Nothobranchius furzeri: one gene and its partners. The protein of the gene in region 3 purifies or fractionates together with the protein of the main gene of each other region. This does not show direct contact. Links are inferred from orthologs where the notes say so. Each region holds a gene or a part of one and is shown on either strand. Other genes may lie near its edges.

Region 1 (7,371 bases), on a different chromosome or scaffold from region 3:
TATTTTTGGTGGGGCTGTGCTATTTTTTTTTTTAAACAAACTTGTGCTTTCTGAGCTTTGTGCACAACTTCACTATTTCCTGAATTAAGCACAGCTCTTTTATTTCCTGTCTTACATCATTGGACAAACTGATTAATCCAGGTGTGTCTGACTATTGGCAAACTGCCTTGCGGACCAAGGTTGAAAAATACTGCATTAAATTGCACATAAAATAACATGACCATAAATGGTAAATAGGCAATGCAAGAGGCAAGTAACAAAAACATTTTGTTTAATTTCAACATTTGAGTGAACACGAAAAATTATGAGCAGGTCAGTGTTACAGTAATGGTAGTAAACACTACTTAGACAAAATGCCAGAAATTTACACTGTTAGGACTTATGGAAAGTGGAAACACTTTCATAGGAAATAATGTCATCAGTATCCTCTTACAAATGTCATATTTCCCACTTCCCAAGCTGGGAAATTTGTTTGCTGCAGCAGAAGTGTAACAAGTAAAATGGAATCAGATTGATGTATGTACAAATTTACTTGAAATACACATTTACATGATTAAATTTGTATAATAGGTATGTGTGTTGAAATTAGTTTTTACAGTTATTGCACATTAAACAATGTACATGTTATTAAACAAATGTCCCGGTTTGTGGGACAACCAAGGATTTCTGATTCTGATTGTCTTGTTTACAGAAATGTAATGTACAGCTTACCTCTGCACCCAGCTGCTGTTCTCCCTGTCCAAACGTCCTCCATTTCTTTGTTGGCTGCTGCACTGATGCGCTGCATTCCTCAGTCAGAGAATGAATGGAGTCCCCAATGAGACACAAGTTCCACATCCACCTTCTGTGGATCCCAGCCGTTTTGAATAACAAACACAGAAAGCAAAATAACGCATTAGCGTGATTGCATCCAGCTAGCCACTGCTTCCTGGTGTACCAATTTTGGGAGAAGCGTCGTGTATACAGTTTACCCTTCTCCTTCTCCTGCTGGCTTATCTTTACGTCGGGCTGATCTGGTCCAAGCTCTTTGACATTAAGTTTTTCCACCATAGTTCTCCTCTCGAACGGATACTGGAGGAGACCGAACTGAATTCAGTGGCTGCTGAGATCCGGTATCCATGTTGTAGGCGCACTGGCGTCCATGTCTACGTCTGCGTCACGACCGTCAAAACGTGCTGGAGTCGAGACTCTCCAAGTTCTACCGAACATCAACGAAAGCCTTGGCGGTAGCTCTATCGCCCATCATGCTTCTGAAACGTTCTGAAACAACGTCGACGCTGATTGGATACATTCCCATTCCTACCCTTTGATTTTCTTGTCAGCAATTGGACAACTGGTCTCATCCTGTTTGGGCGATTGAAAAACAGCACACAGCCTCCACCACTCGGCAGAGACCGGCAGAGATCGGCAGAGATCGGCAGAGACCGGCAGAGACCAATATAGATATACATATATGATTTATTTTTGTTACAAAACACACAATTAACTTAGAATATGTGATTATTGTTAATTTTATTTATTTATTTTTTAAAATAAAAATTAAAAACACAGGGGAAACTGGGAGGGCGGCGCCCTATCGCCCTCTACTGGCCAGCCGCCACTGCATACCTCTAAGACCAAATTTTAGGGTGCTCCACATTGTGTTAACCAGCAAAATGTCCCCACAATGTAAAAATGTCCACACACCAGTGGCGGTTTTACCATTAGGCATATGTCGGCGGCCGCATGGGGCCCCCTTATGTTGGGGGGGGCCCCTAGCCCTGACTGCTGGCACCCCTCTGTTAATGCCACAATGAACTATTGCTTTAGGATGCCGATTCACAAACTGGAAGTGATTGGTAGTCATTCCACTCCAATCCAGTTGGTGGCAGTAATGCACCAAATTGTTGTTTGCCAAGTGCTGTAAGACCACAAATAAGAAGATGAAGAGAAAGCAGAAAAAGAAGAAGAGAGACGGGAGCGTTCGTAACAAACTCAAAGCGATAGTCAAAACATTAAACATGAAAAGGAGTTATCCTATAGTGGCTCCAGTAAGAGAAAGAAACAGCATGCTTTAAAAAAGCTTTTATATTCACTTCCAAAAGTGACATCATTTTTCAATGTAAACATAAAAAGGAAGCAGAAAAGGAAAGACAATGGAAAATATTTAAAGGGAGAAAAACATAGACCAAAATGGAAAATAGAAATAAAAAGAAAGGCAAAAGCACAGGAGCACTGACAGGAAGAAGAAAGCAGAGCAAATATTGAAGGCGCTCAAAGGGAGAGAAAGACAGGGAAAAAGAGGAGGACTAATAAAAAGTGAAAATAACTCATGTCAGAAGAGGGTGGAGTTTCGCAAATCCAGTTAAAGATAAGATTGTCGAAAATTTAGTGTAAGGGGCCCATGTCTGTGTTCGCATTGGGTCCCCAAATTGCTAAATCTGCCAGGTTAAAGTTAAAATTTATCCACTTAAACCCATGAATTCAAGCACACACACACACACACACACACACACACACACAAAAGCACCACGGAGGGAGGGTTGGTGTGTGTTTAGGGAGTGTCCCGTCCCGTTACAGAGCCAGACTGCGGCTCTTCGCTCTGCTCTGCCGGCGACTCGAGACCTCTCTTCTCCTGCTGCAGCCCGGTCGTCTCCCCGCTGCTCGTCCAGGTCCACACCGGTCCGTCCACAGCCTCCACATTCAGGTAAAACCTGCATCTGCAGAAGGTTTACTCTTTAAATTGAACTGGAGATTAACCAAATCTGGATTTAACACCGCGTCTAGTCTGACGAGTCAACCTGGAAAAAAAAGAAAAAAAAAAACGTCCTGGCGGAATAAAACCCAAACCCAGAAAAGAAATGATCCGCACTGTTTTTCCCAATGTTATTATATTATTTTTTTGGAAGACAACTAAAAAAAAATTTCCTTTACCGGAAGTTTCCTAATATGGATAATCAGTGAGACGCGGCAACCAACTAACCAAATAAATAAATAAATAAACTAAGTCTAAAATAAATGTTAAAAACACCTAAAGAGTGCACACTGATAAATCACTCTACACATCCTCACATCCTATGGTTGTCATGGTTACAGCCAGCTGTTTTGAGGAAGTTGACATCCTCTGAGTCAAACGATGAGCTGTTGTTTCTGTTTCCACAAATGGCATCAGACATTTCTGCTTTAAGTGTAGCCATGTCAGTACTGTCAGAAAAATACAATCCCTAAAAATCTGACCTCCTCCCTTGCAGGTTTTACTTCTCTGCAGACCCATGCACCCATGTGTGAGCGTTTATCTGCAGAACTTTTTTCATAATTATGGCCCACTTCAGCTAGTTTCCAGTAGCTGTTGAAAACCAATGACTTTTGATGGCAGGTGATCTTTTTTGCATGTTTGCAGAATACCTCATGCACCACAGGACAGACTTAAACTACACTCTCAAAGGTGACCTTTACCAAATACCTACTACAAAATAACGTTTAGACTCTTCCTAATTCAAGATGGCCACTGCAGCAAACACAAAAATGGCTTCAACCCAGTGAAACAAGCTGACAGTTAATCCAACTTTCACAAACCTCACATGATCTAAGTATTTTTTGTTTTGTTTTGATTTTGTGCAGCTGATGTTTGGCATTGCAGCTTATTTTAAAAATGCACCAAATTTCTTTCAAATTTAAATGATGGGCATACAGGCTATAGTTATTTGCTAATAAAGCACAAGCTGTGTCGGTTTCTTCTGAAAATCAGGGACATACATAACCAAATATTACAGATTTGCAGTAACTTATTACATCTTCACCAGAAATCCAGCAGCATGATTCTAGCCTAGTAAAAAAAAAACACCACACCCCTTTACATATATATATATATATATATATATATATATATATATATATATATATATATATATATATATACATGGTTAACGGTCAGCTGCCTGGACGTAAAGACAGCTCTCCACTGACTGCAGGTACTTTTGCTAAGCTGAGATCTGTGTTTCTATGCTTTGTTTTATTATTTCAGTCAAAAGAAGAAGTTAGAAACTGCCTTCTCATTCTCAGAGCTGTTTACAGCTACATGATTCCCAAAAGGCCCCTCTGTGATTTCAGAGAGGTTGTTTGTATTGTCTTAAATTCTCATTTTAATTGGGTAAACAGATTTCAAGTGAGCGGTTTGTTTATTCCACGCAGAGAATTGTCTGATATGTCCCAGTCAAGCTGAGACAAGAGACTCAGCGTGGCATGCATGGAGAAAATGAGTCATCAGAAAGCCCTCTGCTTCTAAAGGAGGTGGTGGGGGAAGGAAACAGAGCAAACACGCTGTTTAAGCCCTCATATCCAGATTTTACATTCATGTTAGATTTTTTTTTCTGAATTGATGCAGAAGAATGCCTAACATTTATTTTCCTGACTTATAAATCTGCATTTGCTGCACAGTGAATTGATTTTGCAGAGGCCTCGCCGGGAGGGAGGCAGACAACAGAGGCTGGTGAAACATGGGGGATGGGACCAAAAATGTGAAGTTCGAGAAGCATGTTGTGTTTGTCAGCTGAGGAAAGAGGTGGCGAGTGGGCCTGTAGATGCACAGTCAGGAGAAGAGAGCCGCAGGGCTGCAGACATACTACCTCTGACAGATAATCATGTGATCTGATCTATTTATGCCTGCAACAACATGGTTTCTGATCCAAACAAACAGGCTCTTCTTCACTCAAGTTACCCAATCCGGAGCTATGTACAGGGTATTTTATTTGCATCTTCGCTTGTGAGAGGTTTTGATGCTATTCTGATGTTTCAGAATGCATGTTTTACCTTCAGGGCTGTAATTTCAAACTAACCTTAACATGTTTGACGTTCACCAGGCTCTGAGATGAAGCTTATAAACTGTTCTAAATTAACAAAAATGAAGTAAATGTTATTGATTTATTTGCTGCTGCTTGGTTACACAGAGCTGTTTTAGTATCTCATAATTATGGTTCAGGGTCTTTTGATCTTTAGCTTTTAAGAGGATCCAGCTGCCCGACTTAGGAGCTTTTGGAATATTTTATTTTATGGAAAGGTTTGTCGACATTTGTATAATGTTAGGTTTGCCTTTCACTAAAGATAGTTTGGTTCAACTTTCCAGGTGGTTAGATTCTGAATCTGAGAATAACAACTTGCCTGGTAAAGTTTCAATGCAGCAAAAAAGAAATAAATTTAAAAAAAAAAAATATATATATATATATATATATTTTTTTTTTTTTTTTTTTTTAAGGAGCAATATGTCAGAATTCTACAGTCAAATAATCACAAAACAGTCTGAAGCCTAATTTATTCTTCATTTGCGTCGGGACAGAGATATGCCAACGCCATTATGCATTGACGCAAGAGCTCCAACGTGCTCGCAGAGATAAACGGAGAGATGCCCCAATTTCTAACTCACACCAATTCCTGTAAATGTGTCACCAGCACCATATTTGTCGCTTCAAAAGTCAAGAGATATTTAGTGGCAGTCACAGACAGATTGAAGAATGCCTGGTGGAAATAGTCTGAAACTATGAATGTTTATTCACCTGTGACTGAAGGAGCGCAAAGATATGCAGCTAGCATTTTTTTTTTGTGGACGGAAAAGCTGAAGAAGAAGTTTAAATTAGGCCTAATGTCTCATTCATGTTAGAAAGGTTATATTGAAACAGATTTCCTTCTACGCCAGCTATGGGATGTCAGTTTTCTCCTTAAAAAAACAAAAACAAAAGAAGGACATAGTTACTGTTTACAATCAATTTGCCTGTGAGGTTGTTGTCAAGTATGCGACGAGCTAATGCTGCTTTTCTGGCATTTGTGATTCAACACTGGCATGCAAAAAGCTCCAGAATTCTTCAACGAACTAAAGCCAGGAAACAGGAGCGACCCAGAAGTTATTTCTTGTACCTCTAAGAAGCCACTGCATCTTTTAGTTTTATTCTAATGTTGGGTAAAGAAGGCTAGAAGCTAACGTTAAGCTAACAACGCTAATGGTAATTTAAAGCAAAATGTTGGCTATAAAAATATCTGAAGCTACTTTTTTAATTACCAACTCGATATTACACTGAAATGTATGTGTGAAGTGAATAAAGAGTCAGTTAAAACGTCCAAGAGAGCTAACTCCAGCTAAAACAATGCTATCTACTTATCAACTTACTGTGTAAAGAGCTCCGGACCCCACGTGACTCTCAGTTAGTAGACGCCATATTGGCAGGCAAAAAAGGTAAACAAACACGGATCATAAACATGAACATGAACGGGATCGGCTTGGATTTTACTTCGTCGGAGTTTACTTCACACTTTAAAACCGAAGAAATCGTTTTATATAGTCAGAAATTAGATAGACTAAACATCTCTGACCCTTACGGTGCCCCTGGGATACTTTTAATAGCAATCCAAAGTGCTTTTATGTGTGATCTGACAATTGATCAACCATTGCTTGAAAATTAAATACAGCTTAGCCGGTTAATTGCTGTGATCATAAAACACGTAAACGGCAGCATGCAGAACTCAGAGACAGCGTTTTACGTGATGTTTACTTGTTACTATGAGTAATAAGACAGAAAAAGCCACGCCAAAATAAGTTTAGGAAGCCCACTAAGAAACGTAATAAAATCGTTTAAAATAAATACCATACACAGTTGAGGAAACATTGGTTTAAGTACCTGATATGAAGCCGTCGCTGCATAAGCAAAAACCTTTACTCTCGGGGTCCCACAGCTTCATTTCAGCCCGGTCACTAGTGTGTTTTATTACAATGATCCAACGTTTGCGGCGTTCCGGATCTTGGGGAATCCTGTAGATGGCTCATTCCTTATGTCGTCCGCATCTGTTCTGCATCCTGGGGCACAACAGGAATCTACCTTATTTCCCATTTGATTGAGTTTTCTGACATTAACAAATAGTCCAGCTACGGGCTTCTGCCTGCCAATATGGCACCGTTTCGATTTGAACTGTTGCATGCCGAGAGAAGTGACGTCAACTCCCGGAGCTCTATGGCTTGCCTTTGCTTATCTAGAATCTTCTGGTGCTGTTCCATAGCTGGCAACAGCCACAGCAGTGAGATAGTACCTTTTTGCTCAGAAAACTAGACAGCGGTAACCAAGTTTGACTACAGGATGTCATTCTTACAACTTGCACCTTTAAGTTTGTGATAAGGAGTTACTACAAGTAAAGCAGCATAAGGAAACTCACTGTTGCATATAATGATGGGTTAAGGACAATGCTTAGAATTAGGGCTGGTTGATATGGCCTAAAATCAATATCACAATATATTGAGGAGTTCACCATGATGACGATAAATGGACGAGAACTACAGGTATGCGCAGAAACAAAAGTTGTCCACTAGATGGGGCTGTCACATGTATTACGCTGTGACACATTTTTACATGA
Region 2 (7,277 bases), on a different chromosome or scaffold from region 3:
CTACAAATTAGCAACAAAATAGCCATTTTCGCTCCGAACCGTTCTTTGAACGTTGTTTCAGCTGTCATCAAGGATATAAGAGCTACAGATATAAAAGACAATACTGGTGCTTTAGCTCACCTAGAAAGACAACGGACTCCCGTGCGGAAGATAAGGGTTCAAATCTAGATGTGAACATAATTTATTTAGAGTTTATTTTTTACATTTATGGTATTTTTTTACAGTAAGATGCCCAAATGGTTATTTGAAACTCGTCGAACGGCATTGAATTCACAGATAAAAAAGATGTGGGTTCAACTTTCATTTTGGAACAATTTTTCAAGCAACGGAAGGGAATGATCTGTCAAGCTGATGGACTGACCCATCTTAAACCTTTGTTGGCTGTGCTTAAGAGAAAGGTACAGAACCAAATTATTTAATTAATTAGCTGCGTGTTCTCCTGTCCTCTGTCTTCCGGGCCACACACACACACGGAGCTGACTGTCAGCTGTTATGTTCCTTAAGGAGTGTGCACGTACAGCATGCGCGCCTCGTGCACGAGCCTACTATTGAAGCTGCCGTTACGCTTTTTGCCTGAGGGGGCAACCGCAAGCATAAATATTCAAAACTCTGTAAAGTCCCTTTAACATTCATGGACTCACCCATCTTGGCTCGCAACGGGGAAGGCTGTTGTTTAAGCATCCAGGAAACAGCAGAGAACATCTTGGCTAGCAGAAGCTAATCATCGCATTAGCAACTCAACCACATGGCAGAAGCTCCTCCAGCTCCAAGCTTGTGTTATTTGTAGAGATAAAATATCAACGTTACAGAGCAAACAGAGTCAGTGGTAGAGTAGCGTTGCTGTTGGCCAATCTGAGGGAGATGTCCAAATATCAGGAAAAAACACTTCAAATCCTCCCGTCTTCTGCCACTCTCTGTCATGATATATTGATTAAATGAGTGTCCGACACCTTTAAATGAATGCACATCACCAACCACCTTTCAAACCAAAAATCATCTTTTATCAAGAACTAATTGTTATTAAAATAAAATAATGTGCAACTTCACCTAAGATTGCAAGATCTTGTGTAATTTATCACCACTAGTGTGTTGTGAACGACTCAGCTACTAACACATCAGGTCTTAGCTTAAAGCTATTTTTGGAAATAATTATGTGCTGTTATTGATTAATTTTTAGGACTTTATTATTATTATTATTATTATTAATAATACATCAAACTTATACAGCGCTTTTTAGGACACTCAAAGACGCTTTCATGCACTCTCACATTCACACACTGCTACTGATAGTGAGCTACTTAGTAGCCACTGCTGTCCTGGAGCGGTCTGACAGAGGCGCCGCTGCCATTTGGCGCTGTTGGCCCCTCTGACCACCACCAACACAGGCAAATTTGGTGAAGTGTCTTTCCCAAAAACACAACAGCAGGATACCCCTGGCAGGAGCTGGAATTAAGCCCATGACCCTCCAATCATGAGGCAACCCGCTCTACCACCTGAGCTACTGCTGCCCCTCATCATAATCAACCCAATAGTACACCACCACCGTCTAATCCAACAGGAAATATGAAGTTGCAGTAATAGTAACTCTGCACCTCCACAGTAGGCCAACACCGTAATCTCCTCCTTATCGACTGAAATAGCATAAACTTACATCAGGATCGAGCTCCTCTAATTCATCCTCTAACCGCTGCAGCTCCTCTTCTGAGAGCTTCTTCAGCAGCTCGTCCTCGTCTATGTCCCTGTACTTATCCATCTCCTTCTTTAATACAGACATTATGAACAGCACACCTGGAAAGAGACAGCTTGAGTTAAAACAAAAATAAATAACATTGAGCCAGGAGACGTCAAAAAGCTGTCTCACCTTAATAACCCCCCAAACCGGACACACGCGACAAAGGCAATCAGACTTTAGATTCCAGGTCTGACCTGAAAAGATCTGCTGGAAATAAACAAATAGAAAACAGAATAAGTGAATGATAATTTAAAGGTGTGGAACACTGAAAAAAAAACATTTTTTTAAACTTATTTCTGATTATAATCGGTCACTCTGAGTTTTTCATGCAGGCTGAACATGAAAATAGTCTCCTACACCTATCTCCTGCATTAGCTTCTGATAGAAAATAGACAGTGAAACAGATCTACGTCAAACTGTCGCTTAACATTCATGGACTCATCCATCTTGACTCGCGATGGGGAAGGCTGTTTTTGGTTTAACATCCAGGAAACAGCAGAGAACTTCTCGACTAGTAGAAGCTAACTATTAGCATTAGCAACTCCCCCACACAGCAGAACGCCTCCAGGCTCATGTTATTTCTGGAGATAAAACATCAACGTTGCAAGTCAGCGTTAGAGTCGCGTTGCTGTTATCCAATCCAGGGCGAGATGTTCAAATATCAGCAAATAAGACTCCGAAACCCGCCGACTGAAGCGCGGTTGAGATGTGGCTCACGTCCAGCTCCTGGAAATGGCCCACCAGTGTTTTTGCCCCCCCCTCCCCCAAGTATGAATTACAAGGCTTTCATTCCTACTAAAGACCAATACAATGCATGGTAGCACAGTTGTTAGCATTGTTGCCTTGCAGCAAGAAGGTTGCAGGTTCGAAACTCTGCTGTGGCCTTTCTGCGTGGAGTTGCATGTTCTCCCCATGCATGCGTGGGTTTCCTCCAGGTACTCCGGTTTTCCCTACAGATCACAACATGCCCTACGAGTTACAAATTGTACGCCGGTTTGGATAAAAGCGTCTGCCAAATGAATAAACAGAAACAGAAACAAATTGATTAAACGAGTGCCCCACACCTTTAAAATAAACCTCATAATTAAACAATAATGATAATAATCACATGGTTTATTCTAAGATGGCTTTCAGGACATAATGGAGGTCTGCTTTTGTCTTCAGAGTGTTTTGTCTCTGTGAGGTTAGATGACTGATGCTACATCAGCGGCATGGGGACATTTACCCCATGACCAAACAGTCTGGTGTGTTTAGCCTCCACTGATGGATGTCCACCTGACAGCAGTTAGCTTAAATGCTATTTTTTAAAATCTTTTTAATCTATATTATGTCTCAGAGCAAATCTGTGTGTGTGTGTGTTTAATATGTTCTTATTACGCTCAGTCAAGCAAGACTTATCTCATTTGGTTCTCTCATTTAGATCAAGTTTCCAAAACGTATGATTAAGAACTGGGCTGACGTCCAAAATCACAGACTGGAAGAGGCTGACCTGCTTGTGATGATGAACAGACGCTTTTGCCTGTGTTTGTGTTATAAACAAGAACTTTATCTGTGAGGAAGAAACTAGAAACTTGAAGATTCACCAAAGAGGCATCGACCTCTGCCCTCTAAAACAAACCTGCTCCGGTCATAAATCCCCTCAGAGCAGCTTGGCTGAAACAAGATCTCTGACAAATACGAATCTCAAGATGTGAAATTTATTACCTCTAAGTCAGAGTGTTTGCCAGCATGCAGGTCTGTAAATCTTTCAAGTTGCATATTTTTTAAATATGAGATCCAAAACATAATTCTCCAAGAGAAGCTAAACAGCCAATAAATCAGCTGGAACAGCAGAGCAGGAAGTGACTTCATGACATGTCCTTTTTGCTAAATGTCCTACAACCGGACAAAAAAATCTGACCTGAGTCCAACATTTTTTCTAAACCACGGAGCCCTCTAAATAAAGACATGTCAAATAAAGAGGTTGATATGAAAATAAACGTAACTCTAAAATCTCTTTTTCGCTTGCTTAAAGGAGTGGAGCACTTGTAAGTCGTAATCTGGGGGACAGAAAACAACGGTGCTCTTTTTCCAGGAGCTAGAAGTGAGTCACATCACAGCTGAGCTTCAGACGACAGGTTTTGGAGTCTTATTTTCCGACATTTCTCGCCTTAAATTGGAGAACAGCAACGCGACTCTACCACTGACTTGAAATGATGTTTTATCTTATGGAGGAGTTCTGCTGTGTGTTGGAGTTGCTAATGCTAACAGTTAGCTTCTACTAGTCGAGAAGTTCTCTGCCGTTTCCTGGACCGTAAAACAACAGCCTTCTTTGTCAGGAGCATGGGTGAGTTCATCAACGTTAAGTGACAATGTGACGTAGGTCTGTCAGGGTTTTTAGATCCTAGTTTCACCATTTATTTTCTATCAGAAGCTAGTGCCGGAGATAGGTGTAGGTTATTTTCATGTTCAGCCTGCATGAAAACCTGAGTGACCAATTATAATCAGAAAGAGTCATTATGAATGTGTTCTACACCTTTAATAAACTAGAATTTAAAATCTAAAGAGCAGAAAGACAACTGTCACATTTCCTAATGCATGGACCACAGGAGGACAGTGACGGGTTTCTGCTGTAAGTGCGAAGACTGCGTCCAATTGCTTTGCCCTAAAATTACACTTGAACTTAGTGATTTGCACAAACCTCCTTCACTAGTTCTTCCAGATCATTAAAAAGACAAATTTCTTATAGTTATTGAGCTAATTTGTGCTTCAGCAGCGATTTAGATGTAAAGGATTTTGAGAAATAAGGGATTTTCTTACCTGAAGTCCTCTAAAGGGTCAAATCTGTCTTGTTTTATTAAAGGTCACGCCAATTGGTCTGACAGGCCAAAATTATACAAAGAGGTGTCCACATGTCTTTTAGATGAAACATCAAGCAGCTATGATTCAGGAGAGATGCTGAATAAACTAGATCTGAAGCCACGCAGATTTGCACGATGGTGGGAAAAATAAACTCCTCAATAGTTTTTCAATGAGCAGTGAGATATCATATGGAATACAGATTCAGTTTGAGCTGTGTGGCTTACGTGAAACTTTGTCCCCCATGCAAAAACATCAAAGTCAGCATGCACATGTTTGACTGCTTTATTGCACACAGACTATAGAGGTTTATTCTACATTATTTTACGTACCTCTTCCGGCGCTATTAATAGACAGTCGGCCCGGCTGGGTGACAGCAGCGAATACTTTGACCAGATATGGCTTCCCTCGGAGCCGCGGTGCGTGGTCAACTCCGCCGCCGGCGCACAATCCCGGGAATCAGATAAAACTCTGCAACTCCAAACCGCCCATAACCCGCGGAAAGATCCGGCAGATTTCAGCGAGCACACACAGTTTCCTCCCCGTCCCTGGAAGCGTCTTGGTGGTTTTGTGAAAGCTGAATCTCATCTCCCGCAAAGGGCAAAGTAAACTTATTGGGAGAGAGATTCTCCTCCTCTTCCTCCCTGCACGCGCGGCTGCCCGGTCACTCCCGTGATGTCATGAAGCGACGCGGCGTGCATTATCGGACACGGTGATGTGGGCCTACTTAAAGAGCAAGTCACCCCCCAAATCAACTTTTTTTTTCTGATAAACTATATAAATGTGTGTCTAATCGTGCTGCAGACACGTGTAGTCAATAGTTTTACACGTTAGTGCATTTTAGTTAAAATTTAAATTTTCTGCCTGAAACGGTCAGTGTTGTGCCGTTGTCAGGTAAAAACTCTTCACTGCATTTGAATTTAAATCTGCCACCGCTATTGGCTAAGAGGTATGCTATGATGTAAACTGGTACATTATGATGTCACAATGTCGTGAGTGTGTGTATTGGTTAGTGGCTCCACCCTCTCGGTCTGCTAGGCAACAGCATTTGTTGCATTTTTCAAACATGAAGTGGGAGTGGAGTTCACTTCTTGTAAGGGGTGACTTGCTCTTTAAATAATAATATTATAATTGACACGTGGATCCGATGTAAATGTCTGTTTAGGGGCGCAGAATGTAACAAACAAAACACAAAAATTACCGGTTTGACCACATTTAGCTTTGGTTAACAGTAAAAAAGTAACGATTAAATCCACCAGGTAGGACCAAACATTTAAATATCACTTTTAAACTGAACTTCAGCCGCCCCTAAAACAGAAGTAGCCTATCAAATCTAAAAGCGGGGTAGAGCTCTCCAACTTGTCTGAGTTCCTTTGATAAGAATGTGTGAATCTGTTAAACACACATCATTTAAATCAGTAAAATAGTTTAATTTCCTACAAAAATATTAAATTTGGTTGGAAAACAGGCACTTGATAAAATATAGTTTCTGCACTGAGTTTTTGCACAATTTAACATCTAAAATTCGGGGAAATATGACTCACTTGCACAGTTTCAAGAGAAAAGAAGAGATCCAGCAATCTCTAAACTATTGGTCCACACAATCTCTGCCGTTGGGATGCAGCAGAAAAGTATCCTGGAACTGGTAGAAGATGTGGAAGATAAGGAGATAAAGACATCAGGATGAAAAAAATACAGCATCTGGACTGATCAAACTCAATGGGCTCACTAGAAGAACCCAAACTTCTAGTAGTAGCATGGGCGAGCTGAAAAGGTCCCAGTCACTCACTTGACCTGGTTCATCAGGTAATAAATATTCACACTGGCAAAATCAAACTCTTCAATGCATAAATCAATAGAGCACAATAACCAATACAACTCTGGAATTAAAGGAACACTTCTACGAGGAGCTACAAACATTACAGTATCCGGATCACTACCTACAAGATATGGCACATGAGCTACATTCAAACACTAACTTCTCTAACTCTGTCAACACCTGCTGCTACACCAAAGAGCAGTTTGATCAGCTCAACAGCAGATTTTGTATTTACATTAACAGCAGACGTTTGTAATGACTTGAGACATTTCACTAGACTATTCACAGCAGCATCAGAAACCTTTAGTCAAATGGTCACACATGTGTTCATAACAATTAGAAGATTAAGTGTGGTGGAGGGGTTCCTATGTTTGTATGCAAAAGTGTGATAGAAAACATATGCAGAGCTGTAAATAACATTATCGAATGCATAACCTAAGAAAGGTGTAATGGTTGATTACAAATGCACGGAAACACATGAATCAATAAATGATATTGTAACGGATTTAGTTAAGACTGGCAAGTAACTATAAATGAAGCATACAAGGATTTTTTAAGGATATTTTCAATATGTTATAAAACTTGCTCTATTAAAATAAAAATAAACCTCAACCCAAAATACTATTAACGTAACTGTTTTAATAACGCAAACAACAAACGGTGACATGAAACACAAACTTCTACTCATATCTTAACAGTGAATTAGAGGTATTAGTGTGAAACATATTAAAAAAAGCTTCAACCAAAAGACACACATCAAGCAATCTGTCAAAGTTGTCCAACATAACTAAATGTATAACAGACATAAGACACAGCTAAAGAAAAATGAATGACCCTTAATCCCCGATGTCAGCCATGATACGATGGATCCAAATGTCCGTGCCGTCC
Region 3 (7,271 bases):
TTTAATCAAGTCCCAGCCCTAGTATTTTTACACGACTGTTTTTGTTTGGGAGATGCTTTGCTCATCTCCCATGCTGTGCCATAGAAGTAAATGGTAAGGAATGAAAACACCCAATTATACAAACAAGTGTAACTGGAAAAATTTGAATATGGTGCAAAAGTCGATTTATTTAAGTAAATCAACTAGACTGAGAGACCATTTAAAGGCTCAGGAACCCTTTGCAGGTGTTTTCTATTTGCTATTCTAATTTTTAATACATTCAGGTCTTGTTTTATTTAACAAAGTGACATTTGAATAATTAAAACCCCTTTTTTTTTCAGAAATTAAGAGCTTGAGTCCATCCACCCATTTTCTTCCACTTATCCATAAGACCTTGAGTTTACAATAATAACACCTATGTATATTGTTTAAGTCCCTGCCTCATTATTTTTAATTAAAAAAAAACATTTTTAGGCACCGTTTCTTGAACAATTACAAAGCGATTAATCAAGCTTAATTAATTACAAAGCCTCTAATTAACTAGATTAATTTTTTTAACAAGTCCCACCCCTAGTTTAAATATAAGTGGACCACCTGCTGGTGAAACATTTTACCTGCAATCTAAGTCATCAACTTAAATATGGGATATTAACAAAAAGAAAGGATACTGGGTCCATTGGCTCTTTGTTGACTTTAGTTTGGTTTAGTTTTTCAGACTAGAAGAAACAAGACGAGATTCTGTCTAGAAGTCAGATTGTGCTGATTTATTTCTGGTCATAAAAGGTAAGATGGTGGTCAGCAAAGGGAGCAGATGCAAAGATTGTGACCATCATTGTTTTAATTTTTTCAGATTTGAATCATCCGGTGGAATAAACGTCATCAACAAATGTGTTTCTTTCAAATGTGGCTCCATTTACGGGAAAATACTCAGAATAGGATCTGCATGAAGCATTGGCAGGCTAACACCAAACTGAACATTACATTTTATTACTTTTGTGCTGAGTTTAGAAATATTTGAATTTGAGTCTTTTATAATCATGAAGCTCTCAAAGGTTAGACTTTTATTTTTATTTGTTTGGTTTAATTCATTTATGAACATCTTTGAATTCTTTATAAATAAACAGGGTATCTGCAGGTTTAAGGGAGCCAAATTTAAGACTTTTTAAGACCTTTTTTAAGGCCACTTTGACCAAATTTAAACCATTATTTAAAATTAAATTTAAGCTATAATTTCCAGCTATTGCCTGGAACCGGTGCTAACCACGTCGCGAACGTGGGATCAGTTACCATTAAACTTGCACTTCCCCATGGCGCAAGCTCCCACTAGGGCTGCTCAATTAATCGAATTTTAATCACGATTACGATCTGAGTTTTGAACCATTATAAAAACAAAACAAGCCGATAATTTGCTCCTCCCACTTGCGCTGCCCTGAGTTGCAAATGAAGCGCTCCTCCCACAGTGTTGCCAACTTGGCGACTTTGACGCTATTTCTAACAGCTTCTCAGACCCCCTTCTTGACTTTTTAAATCTTAAAAATACCTAGTGAACACCTCAGAAACATCTCTGGTAACCCTTAGCTACTTTCTGGATAACTGTCGTCGACATTTCCTGCAGGTTAGCTTAACACTCCGCCTGCGCTCCGGACAGTTCATCAGGACATTAGGAAAGGGAATGATGTAGTGATGTGTCAGTCGCTAAAGAAACGGCTCTCAGAGCCCTGTTGGATTAACCAGAGTGAGTGACACACACCGCACCTGTGGACTCCTGAGCCACTAAAAAGGGCTAAATGTGCGCGTGCGGCGCGCTAAACACACGTGCAGCTTGCCACTGATTGCTGTGAGACCGAGGTGGGGGGTGGGGGGTACAGCTGTGGTTGGGACAATTATTACATTAACTGATGGACTTGTAAATTGTTTGTAAATAAGGTAGAAATAAGTTCCTCACGCTGATAACTAATCCCTCTGAGGACACGGTGCTAGTGCACTCTCCTACAGCACCTTGACACGACTAAATAAATGTTACGCAAAATTGATGTTGATGTGAACATCAATTTATTTGCATTTATTTGTTATAAATGCCACTGTATAATTCTTGCCGTCAGTATTTGCAAGATATTGGTATTTGGGTCTGTACTGGTTAGACTTAAATGAGTTCAACCAAGGTCTATAGCCCTTGGGTCGTAGACTATGAGCTATAAGTATATTGGTCTTTTTATACTGGGAATCAGGAGTTATTTTAGTGATCATTTTGTTTCTTATTTCTTTTTGTCCTGATTGTGCCCTGAGCAATTTTATGACTGAATAAAAACAAATAAAATCAACATAAATTGAAAAATCGTCCTAAATAATCGAGATCTCATTTACAGTCATAATAATCGTGATTATTGTTTTTGCCATAATCGAGCAGCCCTAGCTCCCACTAGCTTAACCAGCTATGTGCTCATCTAAAAACAGCCCCCTTTCACAACCAACTGAATGTGTACGGCTCCACTTACGCCTACATCGTACACAAAAATGCTGAACACTAACTAGAATTTCAGGAAAATTTTATAGAAATAAAAAAATCTTGTTTATTGGGTCTTTGGTAATTTAAGACCTTTGAAAACTGTATTTAAGCATCATTTGTAATTTTTAAGGATTTTTAAGGCCTTAAATTTGGAAAAGCAAATTTAAGACTTTTCAAGGACCTGCGGATACCCTGATAACGCTGGATTAGAATTTTTAAATGCTCCAGTTGTCTCTGAAGTTAAAATTAAAAAATGGAAAAATGTGAATAACGTCACCACAGACAACAATCTGAGGAAGCAGAAGGCTTTCAGCCCAGCAGCACAGCTCTCCACACCTCAGACCATCTTCTGGATGTATGAGTCTGAACCTCTGACTGGCCAAACGATGCCAGGCGGCTGCAGGAGGTCAAAGACGGTTTGGTCTGTTCTATAAGCATTTGTTTGTTTATTTTGGTCTAAATGTTCTTGTGTTCTGGAGGACTGAGTGACAAACACCAAAGCGCTGCAGACAAACAACATGCAGGAATATTAAAATCTGAATTAAAATGAGCATCAAAAGCTGTGAGAACAGCTGGTGTCACAGCGCTGCCTTCCTCACGCAGTGGTTACGGGTGAGAAAATCCTTTCAGCTGATTAAATATTTATAGGAATCTCAGAAATAATGAAGTTCTGCAGAAGCAGCAGCTGAAGGAGGTGTAGAGGCAGTGATGCGTGTGTCTGGATCCTTTATCCCCTGAGATGTTTCGTTCAATCAAAACATTAAACCAACAGATAAAACGAGAGGAATCTCTGATTGAGCCTGCTTTATCCAATGACTGAAACTGTCAGGAGGAACAAACGTCAGTCCCTGTTCCTGGACTGTGGGAACAGAAACTCTCGTTCTGGTTTGGTTTGTTTACCGGTCCTGTGGATGGAGACGGGCGAGGCGTCGATGCTGATGGTCATAGCTCTCTCCTTCTGTTTAAAAAACTCTCGAGGATTTCCCGACCGCTGAGCAATGATGGCCTTTGCTTCCTAAAAAATCAGAATAAATCAGGTTCAGGATGCAGCCAACTAATCTAATCCAATAAACTACACTTAACAATGAACCTGCAACATGGACTATTGGACAGGACAGTTATTCTCATGATTACTTATCATAAACATTTCCTTTTTGTTTTCATTAATCCACACATTTAAACCACGTCACAGCTATTGGGCTTCTTCAGGAACGAGATCATTTTTGAAAAATTCTTCATCAAACTGACCTCCACCTCTGACTCCTTCTTGTCCAGGTGAAGCTCCTCGATGCTCGGTTCAGATGCCTAAAGAGAAAAACTGCAGTGAGAACGAAAAAAGGCCCAACTGAGTTTTATTTACTCTGCAGCCAGCAGGGGGCAGGAGAGGCTAACATTCTTATGAGTAAAAAAATAAAAAATAAAATAAACCAAAGGGATTCTTAGTTTAGAGTTTTGTTTTAAAAGTCCAGACACAGATAATGAGGAAAAATATTTGGTAACACTAAAGTATGGAGCTAAATTAGGGTCAGAATAATTATTGGTTTAATAATTTTCTTAAAGTAGCGTTTGATTGTAAAAAAAAAACAAATAAATAAAAATACATGAATGAAATACTAAGACTGTTATAAGTACCATTTAGAATCTGCTAGTACTACATTTGAATATGAAGGTTTCATCAGTATTATTATATACATTTAGTCAATTTAGTAGATCATTTTCTGGTTTTATGTTTTTAATTTTAATTAATTTAAACTTGAAACCTTGTTTTTTTTTACACTTTAATTTTAGATAGTGTTCAGAAAAAAACTGCTTTGATTAACCAGTAACACATCTAACTTGTTGTGAAATTAAAAACCATTTACTCATGTTGATTACTTCAAATTCCTAATAAAAAAAAAACAAGTAAATAAAAGTGAAACTGAACCTTAATCTAAATCCTTTTTTTTACTATTTTGTTTTTGGAAAAAGGAAACATTTTGGCTCTGATTGGACTCCATATTGTGACTAAATTCTATCAACAAGAATGAAATATTTCTAAAGTGCTTGCTTACGACCATGAAGTATGGAAATAATTGATTAGGACACAAATGTTGGAATAAAAACTCACTATGATGATCTGGTTCCGCAACCTCTCTCTGGCTTCCTCCTCTTCCTGCATCTTCTTCCTGTTTACAACAATTATGTATTAAATGTTTATGTTATTATGGAGAAAGGCCACAGCTGGAAAAATAAATGAAACAAGACAACTGCAGAACTGATATCCACACTAGAGGGCAGCATATAGGTAAAGCACAGCTGGATTGGGAGGAAATCTCGTTAAAGGGGTGGAGAAACGTTTCAGATATTCAACATTTTCCAGAACAGGTGGTTGCTGTTTGGCAGCAAAGCCCAGAAGTATATGTTGGAGTAGAAATAAGCAGTTCTGGACAGGAGGACCTGATCCAGCTCTATGAGAACAATGTGGAGGTTAAAACCTTTACTTGTGGATCCACCAGAGATTTTTGATGTTTAAACGCTGTGATAGTGAGAGGACATCTGAGGCTGAGTCCCATTTCCAGTGGTTATTAACTCTTCCTCTCACTTTAATGTTCAGTATACTCATAGAAAATGGGAAAGCCCTTCAAAATGCTGACTTTTCTTTTCTCAAAAACACAAAAACAAACGATGTTGGTACGATGACTTTGTAAACCTGTACCCGACTTGATAACAAAAGCAAAGAAACATTGAGTAAAATGGGACGGACCTAAAGGATCCCAAACCCACACGCCACCTAAAAGGCAAGAAAACCTGCTAGATCTGACCCAAACCATGACAGAACCACCTCTGTGCTTTACATTTGGAGTCAGAACCAAGGTGTCTTTGATCATTTTATCTCAAATAATCAGGAACAACCTTTCATGGGTTCATCCTCAAGTTCTTTTGTTAAAGTGTTCAGTGATGAGAAAGTCCAGTTTGGGCAGTTCTTCCAGCTGTGTTTAGCTTATAGGAACCAGTGTTTGTGTCCAGATGTTTGCTTTACAATACACTTGTATTTCTGTTTGGTCGCATTTCACAAAAGCATATTCTGTTTCTAAAATGTGCAGAAGGTCCCTCACAAATCCTCTTCACATAAACAGTTCATTGGCTGGATGCCCACCTGTGCTCCTCGATCTGCCGCTCCCTCTCGCGGTACCTCCTCTCTCGGTTCTCCTGCTCCTTCTTCTCCAGCTCCATTCGCTCCTCCTCATAGCGCTGCTGCTCTTCTGCAGCCTTCTTCTTCTCCTCCTCCTTCCTCAGCTCCTCTTCACGCTGCAGAGCAAACAGGAAGAAGCTGATTCTAAGATAATGTGGCACTTTTTCCTTTCTTCTTCTTCTTTTCTCTGTTTTGATCCACACGTACCTTGGCCTGCTCCCAAAACTCCTCTCTATTGATTTTCTTCATCTCCACCTCTGCATTAGTCTTCTGGTATACAGTGCCCTGAAACAAAAGTCATACGGAGAAAGGTCAGCTTTCTTTACTTATAAACAAAGAAAATAAATCTGCTTTACAGGTGAGTTACACGATGGGCTCAGGTGATCTGCGAAGGCTCAAAAATCCACACAATTGTATAAAAAATGCAGTTTAGATTGAATTAAACCCAGTTTATTTGAACAAGTCGGCCTTTTTGTGTGTGTTGTACCACATCCGCGTTTTCTTCGTCTCTGGTTTTCAGGCGACTCAGAACCGGGCTCGCCACCGCCACCGTCCCATTGACCAGCCGCTGCCCGATGGCCATTGGGTCGATGTCCTCCAGACTGCTGGCGTTGATGATGACCTCCACGCCCTGCAGTAACAGATTCATTTGGTGGTTGAAAGAAAAATAATTTTATTAAATGGTTTTTTTTTAATCCCAAAGTTTAAACACCAGAGAGCAAACTTTGACGACATCATCTGATGCATCAAATTAGCTCAAACGTTGGAAGCTGCGGAAAGTCGAATTTAATGAGCGGATCTCGTCAACTCCATTTTGGTAGGCTGAAATTCACATCAGCTAAAGATTTAGTTTAAAACAACCATTGCAACATTTGTTTTACAACTTTAACATCCGCCTCATGTTTTGATTATAAACATTTTGAAAAAAAAAACAACGAAACATGTGGTAACTAAACAATCTAGTATTTAAAACGGAACAATTTACTGTCTCATTTAATTATAAAAACTATATAAATATATATTTTTTATGTAATTCCATGACAATGTAATAAAAATGAAGACATAAAATTGTCCCTCGCCCCCTGTAGGTCCTCCACCAGGGGGCAGTAGACATGTATAGGTTTCTGATGAAGGCACTAATCCTGATGCTCCGTCCGGAGAACGTGGTTTGATGATGATAACGGAGAAGAGGTTAAGATGACCTCACCTTCTATAATGCTAAATAAAACAAAGTAGTGAAGAAACACACGAGTGTGTGAAGTGAATTCCCGGGGGACTCCTATATCAGACCACTGGGCGGGGCTTCAGACTTCCAATCCATTTTAATGGAAGTTTTATTTTTTTATTTAACACTGGAGCTGAAGGTTGCATTATTTATACACCTAGAAGCTTCCAGTCCTTAGAAAACACCTCAAGCTGCTTTCACTTCCTGTAAAGTGGAAGGGCTGAGTGCCAGGATGTGTGAGGCTCACCCCGTCTTTCCACCGGAGCCGTCAGCAGCACGTTACTGCAGCAGCACGTCTTGCTCGCGTAAGCTGCTGCTTGGCCCTTCCCACGAGACGCGAAGCAGCAGGGGAGCAGCTGTCACCGACCGAGCACGAAGTCACACGAGTG

Evidence for each region. Proteins that work in one complex are often made in the same cells at the same time.
Region 1: the proteins of dbn1 (region 3) and gelsolin purify together in Homo sapiens (co-immunoprecipitation; 3 studies listed by BioGRID and IntAct, counting the BioPlex papers as one, with this or other methods). This does not show direct contact. The link is inferred for Nothobranchius furzeri from reciprocal best matches to the Homo sapiens genes DBN1 and GSN.
Region 2: the proteins of dbn1 (region 3) and tmod1 purify together in Homo sapiens (co-immunoprecipitation; 3 studies listed by BioGRID and IntAct, with this or other methods). This does not show direct contact. The link is inferred for Nothobranchius furzeri from reciprocal best matches to the Homo sapiens genes DBN1 and TMOD1.

What each region holds. Positions count from the first base shown.
Region 1 is NC_091746.1:40,433,161-40,440,531, reverse strand, and holds the start of gelsolin, read left to right. Parts: upstream 1-2,529; 5' UTR 2,530-2,686; intron 2,687-7,371. UniProt on the Homo sapiens protein: Calcium-regulated, actin-modulating protein that binds to the plus (or barbed) ends of actin monomers or filaments, preventing monomer exchange (end-blocking or capping).
Region 2 is NC_091744.1:3,813,189-3,820,465, reverse strand, and holds the start of tmod1 (tropomodulin-1), read right to left. Parts: upstream 5,252-7,277; 5' UTR 4,903-5,251; intron 1,940-4,902; exon of another isoform or gene 1,937-1,939; 5' UTR 1,862-1,936; intron 1,789-1,861; 5' UTR 1,775-1,788; coding exon 1,652-1,774; intron 1-1,651. Other genes in the region: tdrd7a (tudor domain-containing protein 7A), read right to left, coding at 7,226-7,277. UniProt on the Homo sapiens protein: Blocks the elongation and depolymerization of the actin filaments at the pointed end. The Tmod/TM complex contributes to the formation of the short actin protofilament, which in turn defines the geometry of the membrane skeleton.
Region 3 is NC_091750.1:71,043,925-71,051,195, reverse strand, and holds part of dbn1 (drebrin), read right to left. Parts: intron 6,289-7,271; coding exon 6,145-6,288; intron 5,943-6,144; coding exon 5,865-5,942; intron 5,774-5,864; coding exon 5,622-5,773; intron 4,651-5,621; coding exon 4,593-4,650; intron 3,791-4,592; coding exon 3,734-3,790; intron 3,501-3,733; coding exon 3,386-3,500; intron 1-3,385. UniProt on the Homo sapiens protein: Actin cytoskeleton-organizing protein that plays a role in the formation of cell projections. Required for actin polymerization at immunological synapses (IS) and for the recruitment of the chemokine receptor CXCR4 to IS.